Ovis aries: one gene and its partner. The protein of the gene in region 1 purifies or fractionates together with the protein of each later gene. This does not show direct contact. Links are inferred from orthologs where the notes say so. Each region holds a gene or a part of one and is shown in the gene's direction. Other genes may lie near its edges.

The links.
Region 2: the proteins of ATXN7L3 (region 1) and TAF10 purify together in Homo sapiens (affinity purification with mass spectrometry; 7 studies listed by BioGRID and IntAct, with this or other methods). This does not show direct contact. The link is inferred for Ovis aries from reciprocal best matches to the Homo sapiens genes ATXN7L3 and TAF10.

Annotation. Positions count from the first base shown.
Region 1 is NC_056064.1:43,751,303-43,755,048, reverse strand, and holds the start of ATXN7L3 (ataxin-7-like protein 3), read left to right. Parts: upstream 1-1,513; 5' UTR 1,514-1,765; coding exon 1,766-1,975; intron 1,976-2,274; coding exon 2,275-2,407; intron 2,408-2,610; coding exon 2,611-2,782; intron 2,783-2,978; coding exon 2,979-3,076; intron 3,077-3,263; coding exon 3,264-3,286; intron 3,287-3,586; coding exon 3,587-3,653; intron 3,654-3,746. UniProt on the Homo sapiens protein: Component of the transcription regulatory histone acetylation (HAT) complex SAGA, a multiprotein complex that activates transcription by remodeling chromatin and mediating histone acetylation and deubiquitination.
Region 2 is NC_056068.1:46,196,026-46,199,001, forward strand, and holds TAF10 (transcription initiation factor TFIID subunit 10), read left to right. Parts: upstream 1-931; 5' UTR 932-956; coding exon 957-1,188; intron 1,189-1,326; coding exon 1,327-1,481; intron 1,482-1,717; coding exon 1,718-1,782; intron 1,783-1,870; coding exon 1,871-1,985; intron 1,986-2,168; coding exon 2,169-2,258; 3' UTR 2,259-2,339; downstream 2,340-2,976. Other genes in the region: ILK (integrin-linked protein kinase), read right to left, coding at 2,570-2,719, 2,889-2,976. UniProt on the Homo sapiens protein: The TFIID basal transcription factor complex plays a major role in the initiation of RNA polymerase II (Pol II)-dependent transcription.

The DNA of each region.
Region 1 (3,746 bases):
AGGGCGGGGGCGGGGTGTTGAGGAGGGGCGGGAGGAGGAAGAGGAGGAGGTTGGAGCGCGCTCGCGCTTGGCCTCGCGCCCGCGCGAAGGGAGGGGGAGAGGGGCGCGCGCGCGCACGCTCGCGTTCTCGCTCGCTCCATCCATCCATCCTCCGGTCGCGGCACGCGCGCGCGCTCCGGGCTCGCGCCGCACCCCCCGCCCGGGAGAGGCGGGCTGGAGTGGGGGGCGGGGGGAGGGGCGCGCGGACGGCGCGCGGACTGCGCGCGGGCGGGGTGAGGTGAGGAGGAGGAGGCGGCGACGGGACGAGAAGGGAGGGGAAGGGGCCATGGCCGCCCGGTGAGGCGGCGAGGCGGGGGGGCGGCCCGACCCCCCGGCCCCGGGCCCTGGGCCCCGGGGAGAGGCGAGGACGGACCGACGGACATGGGGCTCCGGAGCAGCCGCCGCCGCCGCCGCCGCCGGAGGACGCGGCCCTGAGAGGCCGCCGGGCCCCGGCGCGGCCCCCCGGGCGGGGTGAGTACGGGACGGAGACGGGGACGGGGGAGGGGCCTGTGGGGGGCGGGGGGCGGGGCCCGAGGCGGGGCTTGGGCCCCCTCCCCCCAGGTCTGGGTCAGCGCCCCTTCCCCTCCCCCAGGGCCGACGCGGAAACGCCCGGCTTCCCCCGGCTTCCCGGCCCGGCCGGGGCCCCCAGCTCTCCCCCTGTCTGGGTCCCCCCTGGGCGGGGCAGGGCCGGCCGGGGAGGGGGCGCGGGGCCTTTGTTAGGGAGCCAGGCCCCAGCCCCCGGGACAATAGAGACACCCTCCCGGACTCCTCTCCCCGGCCGGCCGGGGCTGTCGGCGGGCGGGGAAGAAGAGGGGCCGGGACGTGTCCCACTCTGCCCACTCTCTAGGGGTCGGTCTGTCCCGGAGCGGCGCCGGCCTCCGGCGGCTCGGCTCTCCTCCCCCCAGTCGGTATGATGCGGCAGCAGTGCCGCAGGGACGGGGGAAGAGCCGAGGCCCGGCCTCCTACCCTCCCCAGTGCCCCCGGCTCATTTGTCAGTCCCCACCCCACTCTAGGCCGGCAGCTCCTTAAACTCGTACCCACCGTTCAGAGGGGCCCCGGACTGTGTGCTCTGTTTCTGAATCCTTTGGTGGGGATTCCTGGACTTTGGGGCTCTTGGAGAGACTTCCGGGCTGGTCCTGAGGGAGGGAGGGTGGTTATCTCAAAGAAGAACAGGTAAGGGGAGTGCCCACTCCTGGCATGCCATCCCACCGGATTCTACCTCCTTTTTCTTGCTCATGGTGGCTAGGATGGCCTTTTAGCTCTAGGTTTCTGTGGGCTCTGCTCTCCGTCTGTAGTGGCAGGCTTATTTCAAGGGAAGACAGAGTGGGGTGAAGGTTGTAGGGTCCTAGGGCCATTGCTACTTCTGGTAGCAGTACCCCCCCAAGTGGACATCCTGGCTGAAAGCAGAGGTGACTCTGAGGAGAGCCTGGGGAGGGGGGGGAGTGTATTTAGGAGTCTGTGCAGTTCTTTGCCACACCCTGTGGGTTTGCTTTGAGGCCTTAGAGTTCCTTCTCCTCCCCCTGCTGCATTGCACCATGGGTATGGAAGAGGGGTTTGAGTTTTGGGAACCTGGGGTGAGCTGCCGCCTCCTGTAAACCCAGACTCTGATTGGCAGTAAGAGTCCAGGGCCTGAGTTCAGGCCTGGGAAGGACTAGGCCGCCCTTGGGTTTCAGGCCCTGCAGGACCATCCAGACTTAACCGAGGCCTTAGGGAGAGGTAGATCTTGATGCCACCATTAAGCTCTGGGCAGCGAGGTGGGGAGGGGAGGTGGCAGCCATCGGAGGTGCCTTGGACTCACACCAACATCCCCCCCACATGTGTGCAGCCGTGTTGCCGCCCGCTGTGCTATGAGCAGTCAGAGCACCGTCTCCACAAGAGTTCACAAATGAAAATGGAGGAAATGTCTTTGTCTGGCCTGGATAACAGCAAACTAGAGGTGAGGGCTCCCCCACGTGTGCCTCCAGTTCTTTCTCTTGATGTCTGTCCTTCGCTATATCTGGAATCCACACCAGAGAGGAATTTGGGTAGTCAGCCTTGTTCCTTAAAGGGAAGAGCCAGCTAAGAAGGCCCAAGGATCCGGAAGAAGAAAGAACTCAAAATCAAGATGGGAAAAAATGGCAAAGGAAGCTTTATTTTTGGCCAGGGCGAATTGGCAGGAGATTTGGTTGGTGAGAGTTGCCCTCAGTCCATGGGACTGTGACTCTGGTGACCCTGGATGTTCTCCCCTGGGCCCAGGCCATCGCTCAGGAGATATACGCGGACCTGGTTGAGGATTCTTGTTTGGGATTCTGCTTTGAGGTACACCGGGCTGTCAAGTGTGGCTACTTCTTCCTGGACGACACGGACCCTGAGAGCATGAAGGATTTTGGTGAGCGTCAGGGTTGAAGGAGAGCAGCCTAGCCCTTCCCTGGGAGTGCTTGGAGGGTCCTTCTCCAGCAACCACACCAGAGGTAGAACCTAGAGCTCCTGGGAGCTTAGGCAGGGGCTCTGAAGAGGCCACAGGGCCATGGGTGGGAACGAGAGGTAAGGGCCCCTTGCCTGCCCTGATCGCTACGTCTCTCCTGTCCCCAGAGATCGTGGACCAGCCGGGTTTGGACATCTTTGGACAGGTTTTCAACCAGTGGAAGAGCAAGGAGTGTGTTTGCCCCAATTGCAGCCGAAGCATTGCCGCCTCCCGTTTTGCTCCCCACCTGGAGAAGTGCCTAGGAATGGGTCGGAACAGCAGCCGAATCGCCAACCGCCGGTGAGGGCTTCTTCTGCTAGAACCAGAGTGCCCATCTTTTGCAGCCCATCCCATGGTGGAGTTCCCCACCACCCCCTGGGACATTTGGAGGGTATAGAGGGTGGGTCGCGCCTGGCCCCAGATGCTCCCCTCTACGTGTGAAGTCGGGCAGAGAGAGATGGCAGCCTTGACCCTTCCTCTTCCCTCCCCTCGGCAGGATTGCCAATAGCAACAACATGAACAAGTCAGAGAGTGACCAAGAGGATAATGATGACATCAATGACAACGACTGGTCCTATGGCTCAGAGAAGAAAGGTGTTTGGGCATCTGGGGAATTGGGAGGGCCATCGGGGTGAGGCAGGCAGGCAGGAATTGAGTGTGTAACAGTCACAAGTTGTTATCCCTAATGAGGGAGGAGAGTGTAGCTTTGTAACTTTTCTTTAGGTGCTCTTAGATTGGGAACTTAAAGTGACCCTGCCCTTTACCCTTTTGTCCTACACAGCCAAGAAGAGAAAATCAGACAAGGTAAGAGCCGGGGCAAGCATGAGGGAGATTTGGGCCAAGGACAGATACCCTCCCCTTTGGGCAGGGAGTCCTCGGGTGTCTTGACTCAAGTCTGAGGTCACTGGGTACCTCTCTGGGTTCAGGGCCGAGGGTGTCTGGTGGGCAGGAGGGCAGCAGAGGCCTGGGGGGTAGGTGGGAGGAGGGAGTATGGGTGAAAGGCCTCTTACTGGTGGGAAAGAGTAGAAATTTGAGGATGTTTGTCAAATCTTTTTTCCTTCCCTGGGTTCTCGGCTCCCCCTTATCGTTACCCTTTCCCCAAAGCTATGGTATCTCCCATTCCAGAACCCCAATTCCCCTCGAAGATCCAAGTCTTTAAAACACAAAAATGGTAAGTGGGGTGGAACAATGGGAGTGATTCTAACTATGTCTTCTGGGACTTGTTGCTGGAGGGTGGAGGTGGAGGGGCAGGGGAATCGAGGGA
Region 2 (2,976 bases), on another chromosome or scaffold:
CTCTGTATTTGCAGACCCTAGCTCAGGACTGACAAAAATAAATTTTTGCTGTGTTGAAAACCCCACTCTTTCACTAGCCGTGATTTTACATAAATTGTTTATTAAGACTGAAAGACAGCCATCCCTCTGTATCCTCGGGTTCTCCATCCACAGATTCACCCAACCGTGAACTGAAGATATATATATTTTTTAATTCCAATTATAAAAGACGAAACTTGAATTTACCATGCACCAGTAAACTATTCACATCGCATTGGATATTATAAGCAATCTAGAGATTATATAGAGTATACAGTGCAAATACTATGCCATTTCATATAACGGACTTGAGCATCCACGGATTTTGGTATACATGGGTTGGGGACGGGAGTCGGGGGAGTCCCGGAACCAATCCTACCAACCCTTCACCACCTATACGGACGGTGGACTGTACCTCTCTCCCCATCTGCAGCAGCACTGTGTCAGCTGTCCGGTTACCTTCACTTTGGGCAGCTGGCGGGGAAAGAGGCTATTCAACTCCACTACAAACCCTTAAAAGGCTGGATAAAGGAACTTAGAAAAGATGCAGACACGCAGGCGACCAACAGTAGAGAGGTGTCGGGGCGATGAGCATCAAAGCAAGAATTTTAGACGTCAGGCTGGGTGAGGGGGCCTCAAGCCCATAGAAGAGAATCCTCGACATTGAGGGGTTCCCATCCCAGCGGATCCACACTGGAGAACCGCGGGTCCGGACGCGAAATGTCCGCGCCAGCCCAGTTCCGCAACACTTGGTCTCCGCCCTCCCGCCTTTGTCAGGTAGCGGCTGGATGGGCGGGGAATAAAGGAAGGAGGCCTAAGGGAGGAGCGAACGTGGCGTGGGAGGAACGAGTCGTGGGGCGCGTGACGTCACCCCTGGTGTGTGCGTAAGGTGAACGGAAGCGGAAGCGGCTCTGTTCGCCGCCTCTCCCACCGGCCCGATGAGCTGCAGCGGCTCCGGCGCGGACCCCGAGGCGGCGCCGGCCTCCGCCGCCTCGGCCCCGGGCCCGGCGCCCGCGGTCTCGGCCCCCGCCGCGCTGCCCGCCGGCACCGCCGCGGAGAACAAGGCCAGCCCCGCGGGGACGTCAGGGGGGCCTGGGGCTGGAGCCGCGGCAGGGGGCACTGGAGCCGTGGCGGCGCGGGCCGGGGAGCCTGCCGAGCGGCGCGGGGCGGGTGAGGGCCGGGACGGGTGAGGGCGAGGGCCGCGCTTTGGGCTGGGCCCAGCGGCGGGTGAGGGCAGAGGGTAAGACACACCTAGCGGAACCCTCGAGCCTCCCACCTCCGTGTCTCAGTTTGCTGGTTTTCCTCCAGCTCCAGTGACGACCGGCGGCGCGGCGCCCCCGGAGGGGGCCATGTCTAACGGGGTTTACGTGCTGCCAAGCGCGGCCAACGGAGAGGTGAAGCCAGTGGTGTCCAGCACGCCTCTAGTGGACTTCCTGATGCAGCTGGAGGATTACACGCCTACGGTGGGCTTCCTGCCTGAACAAGGCTAATGACTCGCTGTCACGCCAACTTCTGCCACACCATCTGGATTTGCAGCATCCTCTTGTGTTTCTCTTCCTAGCTTTTGTGATTTTTCCCTTCTGCCCACCCAAACTGGGAGCTTCCTGATAGCCAGGCCTGCCCTCCATTTCCCTTACCCCGACTCTCAGCCCCGCTGTACACAGGGCTAACGCTTACAGTCGTCTAATTGATTTCTCAGATCCCTGATGCAGTGACTGGTTACTACCTGAACCGTGCTGGCTTTGAGGCCTCCGACCCACGCATGTGAGTAAACTCTGGGCAGGTTAGAGTGTTGGGTGTTTGTGTGGAGTTTATTGTCTATGCTCTTCTCATACCATTTTTTTCTCTCCAGAATTCGGCTCATCTCCCTAGCTGCCCAGAAATTCATCTCAGATATTGCCAACGATGCCCTACAGCACTGCAAAATGAAGGGCACAGCCTCTGGCAGCTCCCGAAGCAAGAGCAAGGTGTGAGGGGAGGCTCATTGATTCAGTAATTACTTCCTACAGCAGCAGAGGCTTAAATTATCCTGAAACCCCTTTGAGGGAAATTAAGCCTTAGGGGAGGTGAAAGACCTACTCAGGGTCACCTGCCTGGGATTGAAATCTGGAATTCCTGTGTTCAGCTGGTGCTCTTCCCTCTTCCCTCAGGACCGCAAGTACACTCTAACCATGGAGGACTTGACCCCTGCCCTCAGCGAGTATGGCATCAATGTGAAGAAGCCGCACTACTTCACCTGAGCCACCCAGTCTAAATGTACTTGTCTGTTCTCTTGTCCCCACACCAGCCTGTTTTCATAATAAACTTTATTGTGACAGGCAGGGCTGATCCCTCCCATGCTGGGAGACACCGTGTGGCAAGTGACAAAGCTTTGAGCCCATTCCCTTTTGGGGCCACAGTGGTAGGGATGGGGGCAGGGGATGGGCCCCATGGCTGGGGTAGTACCATGACTAGTGGCAGGGGAGGCAACCAGAGGCCTACTGCTTTGGGGAGGTGCACTCCCCTAACCGTGTCCTGACACCTCTGGAGTTCAGATAAGGACTTTCCAGCTCTACTTGTCCTGCATCTTCTCCAGGATAGGCACGATCATGTCAAACTTGGGCCGCTTAGCAGGGTCTTCATTCATGCAGATCTTCATGAGTTTACAAACGTGGGGGGAAATGCCTGGTGGGATGGTAGGCCGAAGGCCTTCCAATGCCACCTGCAAACACAAGGAAAAACAAGGTGAGTCTCAGAACTTGAGTCTCATGTCGGGAGAGACGTCTAGCCCTCAGGACAGGATTCTGTGTATTTGAATCAATGTGGCAGGAGCCCAGCCCCACTACAATTATTGTCACTACCACCACAAGTATATCCAGTTATGCTCTCACCTTCATTCCAATTTCCATGTTGGAGAGGTCAGCAAAGGGTACCTCCCGTGTCACCAGTTCCCACAGAAGCACTGCAAAACTCCACATA